Linked DNA regions of Caenorhabditis elegans. The protein of the gene in region 1 interacts with the protein of each later gene in a pairwise test. Each region holds a gene or a part of one and is shown in the gene's direction. Other genes may lie near its edges.

The links.
Region 2: the proteins of acl-4 (region 1) and efk-1 interact in a two-hybrid assay, tested with the Caenorhabditis elegans proteins (one large-scale study listed by BioGRID).

What each region holds. Positions count from the first base shown.
Region 1 is NC_003284.9:2,062,599-2,073,826, reverse strand, and holds acl-4 (Phospholipid/glycerol acyltransferase domain-containing protein), read left to right. Parts: upstream 1-3,385; 5' UTR 3,386-3,430; coding exon 3,431-3,583; intron 3,584-3,854; coding exon 3,855-4,137; intron 4,138-4,238; coding exon 4,239-4,301; intron 4,302-4,435; exon of another isoform or gene 4,436-4,585; intron 4,586-5,074; coding exon 5,075-5,312; intron 5,313-5,396; coding exon 5,397-5,546; intron 5,547-5,620; coding exon 5,621-6,020; intron 6,021-6,074; coding exon 6,075-6,376; intron 6,377-6,447; coding exon 6,448-6,524; intron 6,525-6,612; coding exon of another isoform or gene 6,613-6,621; coding exon 6,622-6,711; intron 6,712-6,761; coding exon 6,762-6,859; 3' UTR 6,860-7,273; downstream 7,274-11,228. Other genes in the region: F49H12.7 (Exostosin domain-containing protein), read right to left, coding at 7,283-7,360, 8,120-8,224, 8,271-8,327, 8,572-8,784.
Region 2 is NC_003281.10:6,162,366-6,173,273, reverse strand, and holds efk-1 (Eukaryotic elongation factor 2 kinase), read left to right. Parts: upstream 1-4,726; 5' UTR 4,727-4,743; coding exon 4,744-4,803; intron 4,804-4,889; coding exon 4,890-5,966; intron 5,967-6,019; coding exon 6,020-6,755; intron 6,756-6,809; coding exon 6,810-6,833; intron 6,834-6,978; coding exon 6,979-7,123; intron 7,124-7,720; coding exon 7,721-7,985; 3' UTR 7,986-8,368; downstream 8,369-10,908. Other genes in the region: F42A10.5 (Protein CDV3 homolog), read left to right, coding at 503-726, 777-1,239, 1,341-1,472; F42A10.9 (Gamma-glutamylcyclotransferase family protein), read right to left, coding at 2,149-2,191, 2,482-2,621, 4,585-4,683, 8,375-8,471, 8,531-8,622; nfm-1 (FERM domain-containing protein), read right to left, coding at 9,660-9,875, 10,081-10,255, 10,367-10,637. UniProt on the Caenorhabditis elegans protein: Phosphorylates elongation factor-2 (eEF-2) at two threonine residues that are conserved in all eukaryotes and are located within a GTP-binding domain. Calcium(2+)/calmodulin dependent activity.

The sequences.
Region 1 (11,228 bases):
AAAAAGGGGAACGTTTTGAAACGATTTGTAGAAATGAATGCTTTGTTTCGTACTTTTGTTCACGTTTTTAATTTGAAAATTAGAAAATGAAATTTTAGAAATAAAAACATTTTGGGGGGAACGAAACCCATAAGTACCCAATTTTCTAATAAACCTAAGATTGACTCCCACGTCAATTGTGAAAACTTTGCAACGCAAGTATCAAATTTATGTACCATTTGGAAAACTTAAGGTTATTGTCAGTGAAGTAACGTCAGTGAAACGATACTTCACTGACAAAAAAGCTTTAGAGTTTTCAATAATTTCAGCCTAAGTTTTAGTAAATTGCCAAACTTGAGCATTTTTGCAGGTTTGAGCATTTAAAACCTTCAAATGTAAACATTTTAAATGCAGTTTAAAAATACAATTTGTAGAAAAAACTTTTTTTTGGTCAACTTTCGAAATTATGCTGTGTAGGTGGACAGTGAGTTTTCATTGTTTTAAAAAGTTTTAATATGACAATCAGACATTTCAGCTGGAAAATTAAAATATAATAAAGAATCACCAAAATAATCTTGAAACGAAAAAATTAGCTACCTGTGTCAAGTAAACAAAGAATAAAATAAAAACACGGAGGCATTTTCTTCAATATCAAATCGTTTGAATGTCGTAAAGCAGCCGTTTATTTACTTGGATTTTGCCTCCAAATTTTTTATTTTTTTCTCATTATCGAGCTTTTATCATATTTTATGAGGGAATACACTATGGCAAAAATCGGTACCAAAAGTTTTGAAATTTCATGCATTTCAAAAACCTCTAGTAAAAAATTTGTAAACCTCAGTCTCCCATGAAACCTTTAGTTTTTTACGCCTACATAAAGATCACAGATTGATTGCTCTTTGATGTGCTTCGAATAGGCAACAAGTTTTTATTGTCAAAACTACTTAAAAATTCGTGCTCCAAAAATTTTAGTAAGTCGTTATCATTGAAAATTTGAAAAGAAGTTTAATTTGGCGACAATCTGTGTTGACCATTCTTCGGGGTGCACAACTCAGCACAATACGTTGCTGAGCAAACACTGCAGCGTTCTCTCTTTGGCTGTACCAGGTGAGGAGAATATCTCAATTGTCACTTTTGAAAACCGATTCTTGCATATCTTCATTTTTCCGAAGAACGGAAAGAGATTTTCTCGCTACTTTTTTTTCAATCGAAAACAATCATGAAAACTGGGACACGGCAAAAAACTAACAAGAGAGAAACGTAAAGACATTAGGAAATTCTTCAAAAAGAGAAAAAATGGAAAAAAAGTAAATCACAAAATCAGAAAACCATTTTTTTTTCACACCACCTTTGTTTTGAAAGGTGTGCAATCAGGTTTTGAGTGACTTCCGGTGTCAAGTGTTGTCACAAAAGATGGAAACCACCGAGTGAAGAGATACGGGAAGTTGGACACCTGGTGCATCCACTTTTTAATCTCAAAGTCCAGGGTTAAACTATTTGAAAAGCCACCAAAGATCCTTATCGTCAATATTGAATAAAAACAAGTTTCTCATAGAGTAACAAACCATATAATTGCATTAATTCCAATGGTGTTTAGTTGGAACGTGCCCAATTTCAGCTAAATCTCCAAAATTTTCAACTTTTACAAACAAACCAAATATGCATCATAAAACAATTTTTGAATATTTCCGACCGCAAAACACAGAGAAATTAAAGATAACTTTACCTAAAACCTACTGCCTTTTCGAAATTTTCGTGAAATCTCGTTATAAAATTCGATTCTTCAGGTTCGTTTTAAGTCCAGCAAAATAAACATTTTGTTATCCTAAGTTTTATATTTTAAAGATTTTAGGGTTGCCCAAATGTCTATTTGACATTTTCCACCTTTGAAATTTGCAAGTGAACTCCCTTAACAACTGAACATCTAGTCATTTAAAACCGTTTCAACGAAACTTTCAGGAGAGAACACCCCCCAAAAATTTGTTTATTTGCATAAGACACCACAGAACGAATGGGAGAATCCGCGAAACTGATAACCGTGACAAGTTCTGTCAACAATATTATCTCTTCACTTCATTAGATAATAAATGCAGACCCAATTATTCTTTATTCTTTTCCAGTTCCTTATCCTGAATCCTCAATCATTGCCCACTTTTCACTAAAACGCCACGTTCGCAACGTGTTTCGTCATAGTCCGCCGGCAAACAATTACTGCGCAGTTCGGTGCAAACACCGCATAAGACGACATATTGCGGACCGCAGCTGCTCACCCGCGCATCCATCGCATGAGTAAACCGAGGCGGGGTGACCTCAAGTCACGTGTCACTCGCTTTCCTCGCACTGTCATTGTGAAATCGACCACTTGCCCTTGAGTCGTTTTTTGTTTTTTTCTTGTATTTTGTTTTGTTTTATCTTGCTACTAACAAACGGAATTTTTTGTTAAAAATCTAAAATCATAAGGAAAAATCTTATATTCTTTTGAAAATCGTGATGATTAGTCAGGCTAAAAAATTTTGAAAATAACTTTGAAAACTTGAAAATAAACTTACGTTGCATTAGCCGATACTGATTTCGAAATTTTGAATGAATGAAAATTAGTAACTTTCTTTTGAAAACCAAATGCTAAAAACTATTAAAACTATTCGTCTTTAAAAAAAGTAACATGGCCACTGCCAAAATGTGCAATCAAAGCAAGCAATCGCGCTCCATCGCTCCATCTCATTGTACAAATATGACTAGTTCGCATTCGCAGTAATGGGTTCACGTTGCCTTCGTTCCACTTTTCTTGTTATTTCTCTGCCCACCCTGCGGCTTCTTTTCCCCATCTGCAAAAAAAAATATTAACAAATCGAACAAGTCAACAAATTATATCTGTTTCGGTCTGGCATTTTTTGTCTTATTCTATTAATGTTTTCCCGGTCTCGAGTGACACCTCAAAGACCAATTTTATGGTTCTCCAGTTACACTGAAAAGAACAACTGTTGAATGCAATCAAATCGTCCCACTTGGAGACCAACTTTTCTTTTTTTGTCATATCTTTTTTCGTCAAAATGACGTAATTTCCTCTGAACTACCGTGATCTTTTTTTTTTACTTTTTGTCTCGTGTACATTGGGTTATAATCGAAACATTTTGATAGTCTCTCCTAGTTTTTTTTTCAAATATTTGTCGCTTTGCACTTTTAGTTCGACGCAGTTTTTCTCCGATTGACACATTTTCAGCACAGTCTGGTGGTTTCCCACCGCGTGCTTCACCTTCATTGCTCCGGTAACTTATCGCAGAAAATGTTTCTATTTTCACTGACACATTCCGTCATCTCAACTGACCGCCTCCATTTCCTTTTCCGCTTTAATGTGTTGAAACTTTCTATTACTGAATTTTGATTTACTTTTTATATTTTTTTACAGAACCAAATCGAAAATAGGAATACAAAACGAAAAACAACTGGCAGTATGCTCGGAATCGAGCATTTGCTCTTTGTATTAACTACATTTGCCTTTCCACCAGTGGCACTGACCGTCTTGCTATGCATCATTCTGGCAACATTTGGAAAGTCCCTTGGATTGCGGCAGATGTACGTGGACACATTGATCAACATATTCGAGGTTTGTATTTCTATTTCTGAGATTGAAGGTCAAGAAGTTTTCTTTTTTTCTTCATCATAAATTATTTGGGAACAACTCGAAATCTATTGTCTTATCAAACAGCGTTCAGACATTTTTCTTCTATCTTTCGCCCAAATATGGTCTGATGGCCTGGCCAGATTGATAAAAAACAGTGACGAAAAACAACGTTGTTGGAAAGAAAAACCACCGACTTGTAACGAATTGATATTAGAGTAATGTATAAGTAGTATATAGTATATTACTTTTTCAGTGGGGTGCTCGCCAAATCAAAACAACCGAAAAGATTAGAAGGAAAGAGAGCGCTCTGACCGCTCCATTTTTTCTCAACAAGCTTTCCGAAGAAGCCGATGACGACGAAGATGAGATCAGAAGTATGGAGACTCCACATTTTGAAGCCACAGATGGAATCACGGATGATGAAATTGAGGCTCGGAGTGAAACGGAAAGCCATGATTCTGGAGAAGACTTTCCGTCAGTTGACTCTGACTTTGGTGACGAGTCGTGTTTAAAGAGAAAGTTTGGATCAACTACTAGTGAGTTGATAGAGTAAAACAGAAAAGCATGCTAGCTTCTTTATAAAGCATGTACCCCCATTTTCTCGTTTTGTTTTGTCAGGTTGGGTATCTCATTTCAGGTCTCGCCTCCGTTGGATCATGCTGCAGTCTCCGAAATAGAAAGATGTCTGAAAGCAGCACATGTATGTTGTAATCATTTGATCGGGTAGTTTTAAATATGTTGAAAGTGGAGTAGAGCCAGTGGAGAAACTGTGAAAAACTATTTTCACGATGCCCAAATGACCAAATATAATAGTAAAACTTTTCAAAAATTTTGGAACTAAAAATTGTTATTGACAGTCAAAAACTGGCAATTACTGGGCTTTTGACAGTTTTTGAGAAAACTATAGCACTGCCGTAAGTCCTAACCCCTACAATGTTTAAACATTAATACATTAATACTTGAAATAAAACTACATATTCCATAAAATTCCAAGATTTGACGACTTCCAAAAAATTGGCAAAAACTATGTAATTGCCACTTTTTAAAGCAAAAAAACCCTTTCAAAAACATTCTGAAAAGTTTTACTTTGATATTTGGTACGTTTGGCACAGTATAATTGGTTTTTAACAATTTCCTCAGTGGCGCTACTCCTAAATAAAATTTTATCAAGTTTTGAGTTGTGGTAGTACCTTTTCTGATTTTTTTTCTTCTTTCTCCACATTTCTCATACTGCTTTATATTTTAAGTGGGTATAATTTGTATGTTTGGTTGCAATTTCACTGCTTTGGTTCAGTTAATTTGTATCACTTTTGAAAATATTATACCGATTTCTGAAACTTAAAATAATTTTTGAAGTTACCAGTTTCTGATCTCATTAGTGCCTCCAGTAGAAGTTAGCCTATTAGTACGTAATTCGATTAATCACAAAAAATGCCAATTATAAATACATGTTTTTTCATTGAATTGTTCCAGTGGGAATCATCAAACGAGAGACACAAATCTACCTTGACGATAACTTTTCTGAAGACATTCCTGATGAGGTGTTTGTCAGAAGTCGAGGATGGGCTGCAATTCGTGATTCGGTAGATTTTGTGAAGGCTGGAATGGAGGCGATAATTGAGGACGAGGTGACGAGTCGGTTCGAAGCGGAACAGTTGGTGAGCTGGAACATGTTGACCAGAACCAGCATCAAATTTTATCAGTTTGTCAAGTGAGTTTATCAGCAAAAAAGTGCACATGTTAACATAATAGTAGTAATACTATTAGGCAAGATCAAAGAACAACACTATTTCAGCTGGAAGTTGAGTGCTCTATGGATTCTTGGGTTCATGTTCCGCTACTGCGTTATGTTGCCACTTCGCTTCACTGTTTTCTGCATCGGTCTCGTGTTTTTGATCAGTTCGACAGCGCTCATTGGTCTTGTTCCAATTGGAAACTGGAAAAAGTATGTGCATTTCTTCTCGAAATTCAAAATTTGAATCGGAAAAAAGATCTATATATCTAAACGTATCTTTTCAGAGCTCTCAACCACAAGTGTATGCTTATTTGCTACCGAATCCTTTCAAGAAGTCTCACGGCTGTGGTATACTTTCACGATGAACACTATAAAGCGCAGGCACAAGGAATCTGCGTCGCAAACCACACCTCTCCAATTGATGCTCTCATTCTTTCCATCGACAATGTATATGCATTGATCGGACAGAAACACGAAGGACTCTTGGGTATTGTACAAAGAGCACTTTCGCGAGCTTCAAGTCATATTTGGTTTGAGAGAAGTGAAGCCAAGGATCGTCTTGTAGTTGCTCAAAAATTGAAGGAACATTGCACCAATCCGGATAAACTTCCAATTTTGATCTTCCCAGAAGGCACCTGCATCAATAACACGTCTGTTATGATGTTTAAGAAAGGATCTTTTGAGGTTTGTTGAACTTATTATAGGTATTGATTTTTTCATAAACTGTTAACATTTCAGATTGGCACAACCATCTACCCAATTGCAATGAAATACGATTCACGTTTCGGAGACGCGTTCTGGAACAGCTCAGAGCAATCGTGGTGCGGATATATCATGAGAATGATGACTTCGTGGGCCATTATTTGCAATGTCTGGTACCTGCCGCCAATGACAAGACGAGATGGAGAGGATGCCGTCGACTTTGCGAACCGCGTGAAAAAAGAAATTGCCAACAAAGGTGGCCTGGTCGATTTGGAATGGGATGGAGGACTGAAGAGAGCAAAAGTTCCGCCAAAAATGGTGGCCAAGCAGCAAGAACGGTTTGTTATAAATAAGAATAAATAAGATAACTAAGAATTAAACCAAAAAAAAAAATTAATTTTTATTTCAGATATGCCAATCGACTTTCTCGCTATACGTCTGTATCGGAAGTTGTCAAGGATGAAGATGTAGATGTTACTTCTGATTGTAGGTTTTTTTTTTAAATTTTCAGTTTTGCCTTTAAAGTTTTTGAATTTTTTTAAAAATTGAAATAGACTTAATATGATCTTATCAGCTTCTTCAGATTTGGTAGACAAGCCGGTATCTGGATACAATTCTCTTGAGGATTTGCCAGAAGACGTTTTTATCGACGAGGAGGAAGACGAAACAATAGGTGAGCAATTGCAAATAATATTCCTCTCAATGATTCAATTTTTATTTCAGATGCACACGATGAAAATGAAAATGACGATCCTGCCGGCGAATCAAATATTCTTCCTAACAAACCTCTTTCCGATACAGTTTCTTTGGTGAAAACTTGATCACCTCCCCACCACCTCCCACAGACACAAATGATTATCATTTTATAATTTTAGGGTTCCATTCTTACGGATAACATCAAGAGTTTTCAATTCTCTCATTAGTATCATGTCAAATCAACCATAACTTGTTTGTTTCTTTTTCAAATCAGATGACGTTGACGTCTACGTTTTATACAACTCTCTAGCAGCTCTTATTTTTGATTCTACAGCACGTGTTTTTGTCCCCCACCCTCCCCCACTAATGTCTTGTCTTGTGTAGAATTATCGAGGTCTAATTTTTCAGGAAAGTGCGTTGTAGTCCACATTAGGTAGTCACTGATTTATTGACGGGTTATTTACAGCCGATTCCGTTTTTGCATTTGATTGTTTATTACACTATGAAAATAACAATTGAATAAATTGTTCTCTTTTTTGTGCAGTTTGTTAGAATAGAAGACTCGTGAAGAACGTTTCCATGCTGATGACATCGCGAAGATGAAGTGCAATGTTCTCGAGGCCGAACTGAAATGAGTTTGATTTGATTAGGCATAATAAATTTATACGGTGCTGCAAAATATAAATTCTGAACTTCGCAGTTAAAGCTTTTTTAAAGCTGCTTTAAAATTTTCCTAAATATTTTTTATCTCATTTTTTGCAACAGTATTCGATTTTTTAAAACTCAAAATATGTTATTTGATTGTGTGTTAGAAATTTCGGAAAACTTCTCGAATTTCGGAAAATCGTTGGGGGTCCTATTGCATTTGAGCGGTCGATGTTTCATATTTTTGCTAATGTGCACCCAATTTATGGGGAAGCGGAATGAATTTCTAGGTCCATAAGTTTTTTGGTGTGCTGAACCCGATACCATTACTTGTTTTTCATGAAAAATTAAAAAATGGTTCAAGCTCCTTTAATGAAAATGAGTAGGTTCTTTAGCACCTGTGTGCGCTGTATTTCGATTTTATATGTATCATTTATTCACTTGTTTCTAAGAGAGAAAAATAAAGTTTCAGAGTGGAGCAAAACTGTACGGCTCTCGGCTCTCGACAGCCCAAAAAAAAATCGAAAAATCCGAGAAAAATTGTTGTCCACCTGTGCATAATTATGTGATTTTCCAAAAATGTATGAAAGTTTTTCAAAAATTAATTTGATCAGTTTTTTTTTTGATAAATGCATCACGTTTAACTATTTTCAAAAACGTTTTGAAAAATTTGGTTGCCGTATTTTTCTAATCACTAATAAAAATAGTGTTTGTAAATATTCAAATTTCGTAAAACTTACCGAGCACTTTTGTTCTTCTCCAATTTTTGCCAATAAATGATATTCTTGTGCAATACTATTTGCCACCAATTTAGCAATAAGTTGATGTGACTTTCTGATATTTTTCTAAATTTCAGACTTATTTCAAGCGTTCAAACTTGCTTTAACTCACCCATCCTCCTTTGTCTACATAGTCTTTCCAATGAGAACTTCTATCAGTGAAGTCGTTCTGAATACAGAGGTTGTCTATTTTTTTTTTAATTTGTTGTTAAACATATTGGTATAGAGTATTTATGCTAAAAAACACTTCAAAAGTTTTTAGGTTTTTCAAAATTTTCAGTCAAAGTTTTGCCGAATTGCCAGTAATTAAAAAAATATAAACAATTTTTTTGAAAAGTTTCACTATGATATTTGAACATTTTAGCACTATAGTAGCCGTTTGAAAATACTTCCCCCAGTGATGGTAAACTCACATATACTACTTCTGGAACGTTTGTTTTAAATGTTTGTCGATAAGGTACAAATAGACAATTACGTAGTTGAGCTAACAGAATGACTCTTGGATCATGTTGCTGCTCCTCTAAAATCACAATTTCATCGTTAGTTGCATTGTCGAAAAAATACATATTTCTGGGATATTCCACACCTTCTCCACTGGGATATGGTTTTGCAACCGGAATTGTCATCTGCTGAAATTTGAAAAAAATCACAAGTTTTTACACTAATTCAATATGAAAGTTCTTTTAAAAATAGCTGAATGCTCCGTATTGAAGAAAAAAGAAATGTATACGTATTACCAAAACCAGAACAAAACATCAATTGAATTGAAAAGATGTCGTGCGAGACTGAAATGACGAAGAGTGAGGCATTCAATTTTTCACAAAAGAAAAATAATCCGTCACGTGGTTCGATTCTAAAAAACCTGAAAAAAAGGGAATAAAAACTAAAACAATGGGACAATTATTTTTCGGGGCTTTTTCCATTTCAAATTATGGATTTTAACAAAGAACTTTAAAAAAAAATATACTTACATAGCATTATATGGCATTAAAGCAATTATCTACACATTTTAAAAAAATATGCCGGCTGAAAACATTTTTCCAGGTTATCTAAAATGTTTCCCACTTTATAAATAGAAGTGCCGCGTAAAAAGTGCCGATTACAAATTTGTCTCAAAAACTACTTAAAATAGTTGAAACCGTCTGAAAACGTACGAAAATGTTGAAAGGTGGAGTACCGCCAGTGAAGAAACTGTTAAAAGTTATTCATGTGGTGCCGAATATTATAGAAAAACTAGCAAAAAATTTCTGAAAATTTTTTATTGGCAGTCAAGTGTCAATTACTAATTTTTTTCACTTTTTGTAGCACTGTTCGAACCCTACAGTTTTTGAAATATATAATTGAAATATAAATGAGCCATGAAATTCGGGAGAATTTTTTTTTGACCGACGACTTCAAAAAAAGTAGCAAAAATGAGACTTTTCCAATGTTCAAAAAATCAGATGAAATTTATAAATTTTTTTTGAATTTGGTAAAAATTTGGGGAGAGAAGAGTAGAAACTTTTGAGGCTATTACTTTTTTTTTTCAAAATCATGCAGAGTTTGAAAAACTACACTCAATAAGAAACATGAATAGTTTTTTAAATTCAAATTAACAAAATAAATATATTTCTCAATTCTTTCGTAATTTGCAGAAATACACATTTTAAGAGTAAACAAAAATTCTTTGAAGATAGTTCATGGTTTTGCTGGAACATTATAAAGTGGCACATCATTTATTTACTATATATAAAGCGCGTGTCCTTCCGTCCGTTTGTAGTTTGTAGTTTGATCTTTGATCTTTCAACTCTCTTTTCTGTAGTTGGAAGAGGTATTGAGTTAAGAGTTGGTGAGGGATAATGTCAAGGTACTGTAGTAGTACTGTAGGAGTACTGTAGGTATACGGTAGGGTTACTGTAGTTTAGGAAAAATTGAGTTTTTGTCTACAGAAGAGGTATTGGGTTGGGAGTTGCTGGGGGATAATGTCAAGGTACTGTAGTAGTACTGTAGGAGTACTGTAGGTATACGGTAGGGTTACTGTAGTTTGGGAAAAATTGAGTTTTGGTCTACAGAAGAGGTATTGGGTTAAGAGTTGGTGAGGGATAATGTCAAGGTACTGTAGTAGTACTGTAGGAGTACTGTAGGTATACGGTAGGGTTACTGTAGTTTAGGAAAAATTGAGTTTTTGTCTACAGAAGAGGTATTGGGTTGGGAGTTGCTGGGGGATAATGTCAAGGTACTGTAGTAGTACTGTAGGAGTACTGTAGGTATACGGTAGGGTTACTGTAGTTTGGGAAAAATTGAGTTTTGGTCTACAGAAGAGGTATTGGGTTAAGAGTTGGTGAGGGATAATGTCAAGGTACTGTAGTAGTACTGTAGGAGTACTGTAGGTATACGGTAGGGTTACTGTAGTTTAGGAAAAGAAGAGTTTTTGTCTACAGAAGAGGTATTGGGTTGGGAGTTGCTGGGGGATAATGTCAAGGTACTGTAGTAGTACTGTAGGAGTACTGTAGGTATACGGTAGGGTCACTGTAGTTTGGGAAAAATTGAGTTTTTGTCTACAGAAGAGGTATTGTGTTGGGAGTTGCTGGGGGATAATGTCAAGGTACTGTAGTAGTACTGTAGGAGTACTGTAGGAGTACGGTAGGATTACTGTAGTTTATAAAAATTGTGTTTTTGTCTTTTGAAGAGATATAGGTTTGGGGTTAGTAGTGGGATATGGTCGGGGTACTGTAGTAGTACTGTAGAGGTACTGTAGGAGTACTGTAGGATTACTGTAGTTTAGGAAAAATTGAGTTTTTGTCTTTTGAAGAGATATAGGTTTGGAGTTATTAGTGGGATATGGTCGGGGTACTGTAGTAGTACTGTAGGAGTACTGTAGGAGTACTGTAGGATTACTGTAGTTTAGGAAAAATTGAGTTTTTGTCTTTTGAAGAGATATAGGTTTGGAGTTATTAGTGGGATATGGTCGGGGTACTGTAGTAGTACTGTAGGAGTACTGTAGGAGTACGGTAGGATTACTGTAGTTTAGGAAAAATTGTGTTTTAGTCTTTTGAAGAGATATAGGATTGGAGTTAGTAGTGGGATATGG
Region 2 (10,908 bases), on another chromosome or scaffold:
CTGTAAATGTGAGAGAAAACTGAATAAAACGAGATATGCGTCAACAAAATCGCCATACACGCCAGTAATCGTCCTGGCGCGTTTGCAGTCTCTAACTTTTTTTTGTTGCGAAACTGAATTTTTAGCTGGATTTCTCTTCAACTTACACGTTTTGTTCATTTTTTGTTAGTTATATTTAGAAGCTCCAAAAGCCTAAACTATTCCAATTAGCAAATTCATTATTGTCAAGACAGCCTTCTGCCAAATAACTGCAATGAATCTCTGATACGCGCGTGACGTGTTGCGTCGCGTTTTCTTCTCATTTTCAGTAAATTCCAGCTAGTTTGCCACTTCCTATCATTTGTTCTTTGTGCACAGTAACTTTACATGTCATATTCGTTATTTGAACTTCACTATATTAGAAAACTGTGCTATTGTCGTTTCATTTTAGGCCGTTCAAAATAATTTTACTCTCTAAATGTTCCACGTTTCAGTTCCGACTCGCTTTTCACAACAACACAAAATGAGTGACGATTTGAGCGCTTTCTTTGCTAAAAAGAAAGACAAGAAAAAGAAGTCCGCCGTTAAAATCGAAGAAGTCGGTCAAGCACTCGAACGAAGAGCCAAGCGTCAAGAGGAGTATGAGCAAGAGTCGGAGGATGTTTCTGAAAAGCGGGTAGAAGAGGAGAAGGCCGTGAATCCTAACGAAGAAAGTGAATGGATTGAATACGGAGAAAGTCAAGGAAGGTTAGTAGATTATTCGCTCCGATTTCATTTAAATATCTCATTTATTGCAGACTAGATGGTCTGAAAATCAAAGATATGGGTCTTGAAAGTGAACAAGATCAAGTAAATAACGAAGAACCAGAAGATCGCGAGGTTCATGAGACAAAGACTTGGGGACAAGTTAGCAGTGAAAAGAAAGCGACGGAGGAGCCGGAACAAGCTGTGACGATCAGTGACAAAGCAATGGCTGCCGCTTACAAGCCACCTGCAATGAGAAGACCAGGAGCTCCGTACAGACCAAGAGCTGCTGCTGCAAATCTGGATATGGGTAGTGACGCTGCCTTCCCATCATTAGCGGATGCAAGCAAAATTGAGAAGAATAAGAAAGAGGAGAGCAAATCACCAGGAGGTTGGGTAAAAGCTGGATCCGGTGGAGCTTGGCCAGGAAGTTCGGGCCCATCTTCAAGTGGGTCTTCAAGATCGTATCCGACAACTGCTGGAAGTGGACGTGATAGTGCTCTTGCAGCTCTCAAGGTATGTGTCAAGGAAAAATAATTACTCTAAGTTTTCAAGGTTTTAAAACTATCAAAAATCATTTTTATTATTCTTGAAAATGTCTAAATTCAACGTTTCAGATGATGAGCGCCGCCAATCCAGCTCCAGCGCGTAACGAGCCAGCACCAGCCCCTGCAGCTGCTGCTCCAGCATCTTCGGGAGCTGCCAAGGCTGGATCGTACGTTCCTCCACATTTGAGGAAAAATCAATAATAGGCCCAACTATTTTCTTATTCTTCTGTTTTCTGTGTTCCCATTTCCTTATTCATTGTTTTTCTTTATTCTATAATATCCTTTTTTTGGTTAGTATTCTCATAATTTAGTACATTATTAATTTCGTCCCTATCAACTTGTTATGTCCCAAATTTCTCTTATCATTTCGTGCTTAAACGCACTTCACTCTTTATTGTTGCTCTACCAATTCTTGAACGACCCACAATACCCCGTGAAATTTATAGGGTAGTTGACAGCGGACGGTGTGGTTTGAGAATTCACGTGAATCGAATTTTGGTATCTTTTTTCGAAATCTTATGCATTTCGAAGGTCGTCTCCTATTTTCGGTGTCACGCCAAAAATCTCAAATCCGCCTGTTTCGCGTGTCGTCGGTTACGGTTTCAACGAAAGAAAGTTTCAAAATGTTTTCCCCATGAGCACTTTGCTCTTTTTCTACTTGTGCTATTTATACAAGTGCTCTATCATATTCTCTTTGCCCAATTCCCTTTCGGATTCAATCATGGTGTCTTTTTCTTTCGTTTCCCTTTTTTCTTTTTCATATAAACGTTTATACATTCCCAATGTGCTCGTCTTTGTTATCTTGCATGTGTGTTTTCAATCCCAGATTATTATTCATTTATTCAAATTATAACGATGAGGAACTGTTACTCGGTGATCACATTGCTTCGTACATTTCATTCTCGTTGGTTAGGTTCTCGCTGCAAAAAAAATTAAATGTAGGTTCATTGAATAGTTATTTGTAAATTTCCCCACTTTTCAAATCGAACTCGGCTTTTCTCTGAGCCAACTCGATGTAGATCAGGTTCTCAGCGCCCAAAATATCATGATAGAGGTTCGAACTGCCGTCGAGATCGTCAAGCATCTCTTTTGCGCGCACGTATCTGAAAATTCCAGTCGTGCGCGTAATTTTTCAATAAATCACTGGAATTTGTTTTTCAAAGAAATATTTAATTTAACTCTAGTTTTAAAAGGCACATTTTTCTCTTACCTGTCCACATAAGGTCTACCATGAGCTCCGAGGCTTGAGTAGTTGGTCATCATTTCGGATGACGTGGAAAGTAGATCTGGGCGCCAGCTTTTCAGCAGATAGATAAACGCAGTCTCAGTAGTGCCAGACGGAAGTTTGATCTGAAATTTTCATGTTTTTGAATGAGAAATTCCCCATTTTCAGATATGTTTTGTAAGTTGGTATTGTTATGATTCAACAATGAAAAATAAAACAAACGGTCGAAGACGTTTACATTTTTTTTTGAAAATTTCGTGTCTACTTTCTACAGTAACCCGCGCTGTCTGAATGAGCTCATTCATATTATCTATTCCATAAATATCCTAAATCAATAATTATAGGTTCCTTCATATACACTTTATTTTAACTTCCTCTATATTTTTCAGCCAAAAAAAACACCAAGTGGTCCCAACCATTCATCCATCCAAGTCAAATGTGCACACCCATCTCTTTTCGGTTTACACTCTGTCTGTTTCTCTAAATCTCTCATTCTTCATCATTGTCTCTCCTTCTTCTCCTTTCTCCATTCTTCTGGGTGCCTCTAGGCCTTTCTCGATTTTCCATTTCTTCACGTAGTTTTCTCCCAGTTTTTCCGTCGGTCTTTTTTCAACTTCAGAGAGTCTACTGATTCCTGTTTCTATTTTAAAGTGCTAGTGATAAATGTCTGAGAGATATTGGTCACATTTGACCTATTACATTCGGCTCGGTCAGATTGAAGTTTCAAGGAAATCAGAATATTTCATTTTTATATTCCAAGAATCTACTCAACCAGATGATTTATTATGTTCATTAAAAATAATAGGATTGGTTTCTCATTGATATATTATTCACCATCTGCCCTTTTTATCAAATCACAAAAAATCATTTTTATCTTTAATGTCTAACTGTAAGTACAAAAACGTGCAAAACTGAAAAACTTAAAATTGAAAGTAATTTTCGATTTTTTGTTCTTTTGATTTTTTAATCTTTGATCTTGAAAATTTTCCTCGACGTTTCTCGAATGTTCCTTCAAAAAATATTACCCATTATAATTTATGAGCTTTTTTCTTTCTCTATTTATTCCTATCGGGCCCGATATCGGGGAGGATTTTAGATTTTTTAAAAAATAATTTTATAGAACTTTTGAAGATACCTCTAAATGCCTACAATACTTACAAAATATGAAATAGTTTTTGTTTCTTTTCAAAATGCATAATCTCATTTATAAAAATGATTTATAAAACACAATTTACGGACTTTAATCCAAAATCGTATGTTTTCCATTGAAAAAGATAATATCTTCCGAATCTGGTTCTCGATCCTCGTAATTCTCTATTTACCCAACTCTTCTCTACACACAAATCACTGGATTATAGACTAAAAACCTAAAAATGCTCGAAATAGAAAACTTCTGCAGTTTGAATCTTAAAATTGTTCTAAAAGTGAATACGAATTTCATAAATCTCAATTATCAATTATCAGAAACAAATATTCAGAAAATAATTGGAAAACCTTTAATAATTTTCAATTATTACTTCTAATGGTCGTTTCAGAATGTTATTTTTAAAAATCGATTTCTTTTCACTGAGATCAAATTTACTTTTGGATCCATTTTTTACGAATGCATAATAAACATATTGTTATTACATCCAAAAATTTCCATAAAAAGCTCTCAGCTGACCAGCACGTGACGCATCTCGATGGAACAGAAATCAAACTGTTTATATGTTTGTTTGCTTCTCTTTTCTCTATCATCTGCTTTCAAGTATTCTTTCATTCGACACGTTCTCCCCCCGTTGTCGCTTTAATTCATGCTCGTTTTTTGTTGGGTGTGATTAGATGAGTAGTGTCTGGGCCTGACATAGAAAACAAGACCTTTGACTTGCCTTGAGTTCTGATACGATACCTGGTCTCAACGCGACCAAAAAATTTCAGCGCAAACAAGAGAGTGCGCCTTTAAAAAGTACGGTAGTTCTCCACGTCCAGTTTTTCCCAATTTCATAGATTTTACACTTTAAATCTTTTTCGCAACTAGGTAATATCGTTTTTTAAGAATAAAAACATCTACAGTAGGAAATCAAACAGAACCTTTTTTATCTGACTTACCTCAACTTTCTTTCTATCGTACAATGTTGGGTAGGCTTCCAACTCATCGAGCACCTTCAATTTCTTCTCGCAAACTTCATACATTTCTCCTTCAATGTTCTGAAAAAATTTGGATTAATTATTTACAAAATAGTTGTTTCAGTAGTCAAACTGGGCAAAATGACGATCGACACAACAAATGAGAGCGACAATAGTCCAACTAACTCACCAGGATTGGAGGTGGGATTTTTGAAAACAATTCTTTAACAAAATTAAATTTATTTAATTAAAATTCAATTAAACAAACTACAATTTTTACTTTCAAGGCCTCGGCTCGGACATTCTCGCTCAATGCGTCAAAAATGGTTCGGATAACCGACGACTACGCAGATGAAGTGTTCATTGAACAGAATGATGTCGTTATCGAGAAGCCTCGTATGGATCCTCTCCACGTTAGAAAACTTATGGAGACATGGCGCAAGGCTGCTCGCCGAGCAAGAACAAACTATATAGATCCATGGGATGAGTTCAACATCCACGAGTATCCAGTACAACGAGCTAAACGATATAGGTATTCTGCAATCAGAAAGCAATGGACAGAGGATATAGTCGATGTGAGACTTCATCCGGACAGTTTTGCACGTGGAGCCATGCGAGAATGCTACCGACTCAAAAAGTGCTCCAAGCACGGAACAAGTCAAGATTGGAGCAGCAACTATGTCGCAAAAAGATACATTTGTCAAGTCGATCGTAGAGTTCTTTTCGATGATGTCAGACTTCAGATGGATGCCAAATTATGGGCTGAAGAATATAATCGGTATAATCCACCGAAGAAAATTGATATTGTTCAAATGTGTGTCATTGAGATGATTGATGTAAAAGGTTCTCCACTCTATCATTTGGAGCATTTCATCGAGGGAAAATATATAAAATACAATTCAAACTCAGGATTTGTATCAAATGCAGCTCGTCTTACACCACAAGCATTTTCTCACTTCACCTTCGAACGTTCTGGTCATCAAATGATGGTTGTCGATATTCAAGGAGTTGGTGATCTTTACACAGATCCTCAGATTCATACAGTTGTGGGAACTGATTATGGAGATGGAAACCTCGGAACTCGTGGAATGGCTCTTTTCTTCCATTCACACAGATGTAACGATATTTGTGAGACAATGGATCTATCAAATTTCGAACTTTCGCCACCTGAAATCGAGGCTACCGAAGTTGCGATGGAAGTAGCTGCAAAGCAGAAAAAGTCATGCATAGTTCCTCCAACTGTGTTCGAAGCAAGAAGAAATCGAATTTCAAGTGAATGTGTACATGTCGAGCATGGTATTTCGATGGATCAATTGAGAAAAAGGAAGACGTTGAATCAATCGTCAACCGATTTGTCAGCAAAGGTGAAAGAAACATTTAAAAAAGTTCTAACGTATTCTATTTTTATATTTTTCAGAGTCACAACGAAGACTGTGTATGTCCTGAGTGTATTCCAGTTGTTGAGCAACTCTGTGAGCCTTGCTCCGAAGATGAAGAGGACGAAGAAGAAGACTATCCAAGAAGTGAAAAAAGTGGAAATAGTCAGAAAAGTCGACGTAGTAGAATGAGCATTTCAACGAGATCTTCTGGCGATGAATCAGCATCTCGTCCTAGAAAATGCGGATTTGTAGATTTAAACTCACTTCGTCAGAGACATGATAGCTTCAGAAGTTCTGTTGGGACATATTCTATGAATAGTTCTAGACAAACCAGAGACACTGAAAAGGATGAATTCTGGAAGGTTCTTCGAAAACAATCAGTTCCAGCAAACATTCTATCACTTCAACTTCAACAAATGGCTGCTAACCTGGAAAATGATGAAGACGTACCACAAGTCACCGGGCATCAGTTCTCTGTCCTCGGTCAGATTCATATTGATCTCTCACGATATCATGAGCTCGGGCGGTTCGTAGAAGTTGATTCAGAACATAAGGAAATGCTTGAGGGAAGTGAAAATGACGCTCGTGTACCAATCAAATACGACAAGCAGTCTGCAATTTTCCATTTGGATATCGCTCGGAAGTGTGGAATCCTTGAGGCTGTGCTAACATCGGCTCATATTGTTCTCGGATTACCACATGAATTGTTGAAAGAAGTCACCGTTGATGATCTGTTTCCTAATGGGTTTGGAGAACAGGAAAATGGAATTCGAGGTGAGCTTTTTTTGTTAATTTTTCTCTTTTAAATCTGAAATTCCAACTTTTCAGCTGATAAAGGACAAAAACCTTGTGGTAAGAATCAAGTTTTCTCGTGTGTGCTTTTTAAAAATTATTTTGTGATTTCCCAATTTAACCTTTCGTGTTGTTTCCTTTTTTGAAAGATTCAATCCTAGTGTTCTCAGCATCCCGTATTTTATCAAAATTCAAAAATTTTCAGACCTAGAAGAGTTCGGCTCCGATCTGATGGAAATTGCTGCAGAGATGGGTGATAAGGGTGCAATGCTGTACATGGCACACGCTTATGAAACTGGTCAGCATCTCGGACCGAATCGAAGAACGGATTATAAGAAATCGATTGATTGGTAAGAAATTTATGAGATTCTAGTGAAGATACAGTAACCCGACTTTATAGAGAATACTTTTAAGAAACCTAAAAAAGCTAAAATGTTTGATGCTATAGCTTCTAATTTTTTTTAATTGAAAATTTTTTCGAATAGCCGGAAAATTGAAAATCGAAAAAAAAGATTTAGAATGTAATTAACAGATTTGAAATTTCATCAAACTTTGTTTGTTTCGATGGAAATTTTTTTTCTTCTAAATAAAAATTTCAATTTACGAAAAAAAAAATCAAAAAACGAAGATTTTCGATTTTTTGAAATTTGAATTTTTGAACATTTAGGAAATTTGGAAATTGAAATTGAAATTTTTTAATCGAAAATTTTTTAAAATTCGAATAGAAGTACCCGTCTCTGATTCATTTTTTATAAGAAAAATTGTGAAAAACCAGAAAAACTAGGAACCTTCAAAAAATATGTTCAGAAAAAACTAAATCTACTTGTTGTATTTTTCAAAAAGAAAATCATATATGACCTATTTGCGATTTTTATTCTGGACTTCTTGGATGATTTTGTTCCTTAACATTTTTTCTATAAACTTGAGAAATATTCTAAATTTTGTAGGTATCAACGCGTCGTTGGATTCCAAGAAGAAGAAGAACTTGACTCTGATTGTGGAAAAACGACATTCTCCTCATTTGCTCCACTGACTCGTCACGAGATTCTAGCCAAAATGGCTGAAATGTACAAAGAGGGAGGTTATGGCCTGAATCAAGACTTCGAACGAGCATATGGTCTATTCAATGAAGCTGCTGAAGCAGCAATGGAAGCAATGAATGGAAAGCTCGCAAATAAATACTATGAAAAAGCGGAAATGTGTGGAGAATGATTCTTGAATTCCCCTTTCTTCAATCCTCAATGTATATCCTTTTTTCTGGTATAATGTACATTATTGTTTGTTTTTTTTTTCATATTAGTTAGTATCCCCATCCCCTACAATTTTTAGTTTCCCCCTGTCACAGTCCCCGGATTCAAGGAAAGAAAAAAATTTCAAAGATTTTGAATACCAAAAAAATTTCGGATCTAAACAAGTTTTTGGCATTTATACTCCCTTTAAACCGTGCGCATAATCATTTTTCTGTTTCTTTCTTTAAAATTTCCTTATTCATCTTTGTTTCCCTGCCAAAGCTGATTCCGTTCTCGTTCTTTTTTTTTAATTACTTGTCAATATGCTTCAAAGTACGTCGGTTTAAATAAACTTCAGGTTGTAAAACTCACATTTCCATTCCCAGCATCATCAAGCAAAAATGGAATGTTATATTTGGTTCCAACTACCAATGGGAACTTTTCCACTGTAGTTCCAGATGAGATGAATCTGAAAGAAGTAATGCATCACATTTGACACTCAAAATTCTTCAGTACTCCCGAACTTACCGATATTCTCCGTCAGTTTCTGACAGAACCTTGTAGTTTGGCTCTCCTGTTTTCAGGGTTCCATACACGAAAACCTTGAATTTTTCGCCCATTTTTGCTGGAAATGAATTAATAAATTACAGATTTTTTCATTATTTTAAGTTAATAAAAAAACATTTAAAAAAAATCTGTATTCATCAATCATTCGATATGTATATTTACACAATATGCCTTTCGGAAAAAAGAAGAAAAATACGCGTTTTTGTCTTGCCACGAAAGATTATTGATTGAAAAATGGCAAAAGGGTGTGGAAAAATCAATAAACTGAATGAGCACAAAATGGGGTTATCTCTTATCGGGATGGGGAAAAACTGAAGAAAAAAAAGGAAAATCGGTTCATAAATGGCCATAAAGTTTCTTATCACATTCCATCAAAAGCTTGTGCTCGTTGTCGTGGAGTTCCTCGCATACTCTGAAATTATAAGAAAATTATAATTGGAAAATGAGAAGAATAATCAATCAATACCACACTAATGTTCATTTCAAAATTTGAAAAATCACAACAAAATACACCGACGGACAGGTTTGTGAAATTCAAAGATATAGTTTCACTAAAAAATGTGTGATTTTTTGAATCAATTAATAAAATTAATAAAGTCTTAGCGCGAGCGAAACTTTTCAGATACCGTACCCTGGGTTTTGCTTTTTCTTGTTTCTTTCTATTTTTAAAAATTTTTCGAGTTTTTGTTGTGAAAATCTTATTTTCCCTGAATAGGTTTACTACAAAAACATAAAAACTCAAGAAAAAGAATTTCCAAATAAACGATGGAACGTCTACTATTGGATACTGTAGCGGAAAAAATAATCTCGTGTCAGTACCCGACGTAACGATTGCGCTCTAAGAAATATTTTTCGCGCTGCGTTCATTGTTGCGATTCCTGATTTTTAAATTTTAAGTCAAAAAAAAACAATTACAGTGTGCATATTATTGAATTTATTCATAGAGCGCTTGAACCATGAATGTTTATTTTCAACTCTAACAAAAATACCAATCAACAAGTGTTAGAAAACAATAATTGGAAAATTAGTCAATATGCAAACACGCTCTACCACACAACAATCAAACTCTGGCACTATTTTCTCACTATATTCAAATGTCAGCTTCCTGCCATTCAGTGTTTCCCAAATCATAAGACTGCTGTCTATGCAGCATCATGACGTGGCTCAGAATACTTGACGAGCTCGTAGTGGATACTGTAGAGACACGTGGAATCCCTCGTCCCGCCACATGTCTAGCGACAGTATTGAGCTCCAAGGAATCGGAGGAACCCGATGAGCCAATTGAGCTTGCGCTTTTTGATTTTTTCTGGAGATATTCCGAAGTTAAGCGTCAAACTTACAAATGCCAAACGCGCGAAATTTTAATAAATTAGAAGCTTAACATATAATAGAATAGGATGAAAAAGAGATTTAATAACTTTTTGAACTTTTGACCTTCTGATCATGAGATCAGCTTAGTAACCGTTCAGAACGGTAGCATGCTAACAGAACTTGCTAAATTATCTACTTACCATTCTCATCGTCGTGAACTTATCAAAACCGTGTGCCACATTTTGTGCATGAACCGCATCATGCTCTCGATGCTGCCCATTTTGTACATTACCGTCTCGTTTCAGGCCGTCAATATCGCCACGTAATTCTTCCAGGTGCTCCTTGAAGATTCGCGCTCGTGTTTCGTATTCTGACCTGAAAAAATTTCTAATGTCACATACTATTCTCTATTAGGATTGTACCTCCATTGCTCAACTCTGCTAGCATATAATTCAGTTATCCTTTTTTTTTAATTACCAAACTAACCTTGATTTTTCCAACTCCATCAGAGTAGTCTGTTGCTCGAAAATCTGACTAATTGAAGGATCGGGTGGTGGAATAATCATACCAGATCCTCCGTAATATGGCGGTTGATTCTGATTTTGAACTTGAGTTTGTTGTTGATGAGCTTGAGTATTTTGAGACATTTGTTGTGGTTGTTGATGAGAAAGTGGTTGATTTGAAGGAATTGGGGAGGAAAATGCAGATGATGGCATATTCAGACTTCGAGACATCATTTGTTGAGGATGAGTGTGTGCTGAAAATGTTGTTTCCGTATAAATATAATCATATTTTTCTTATTTCTTATTTCTAACAAGACGTGGATTGGTCAAAAACAGTAGCAACTTGGCTTGCGATTTCATTCCCAAATTGGCATTACAAACAATAAATTAGTTTACAACTAGACACATTCTCATTTGAAGATCTTGAATTTATAATATCATTACCAAAATATTTTTTAGTGTTCTCTTTTTTGAGGCAACTTTGCAAATACCTGGCTGTGAGAAAATGTTGAAGTTACATAATCA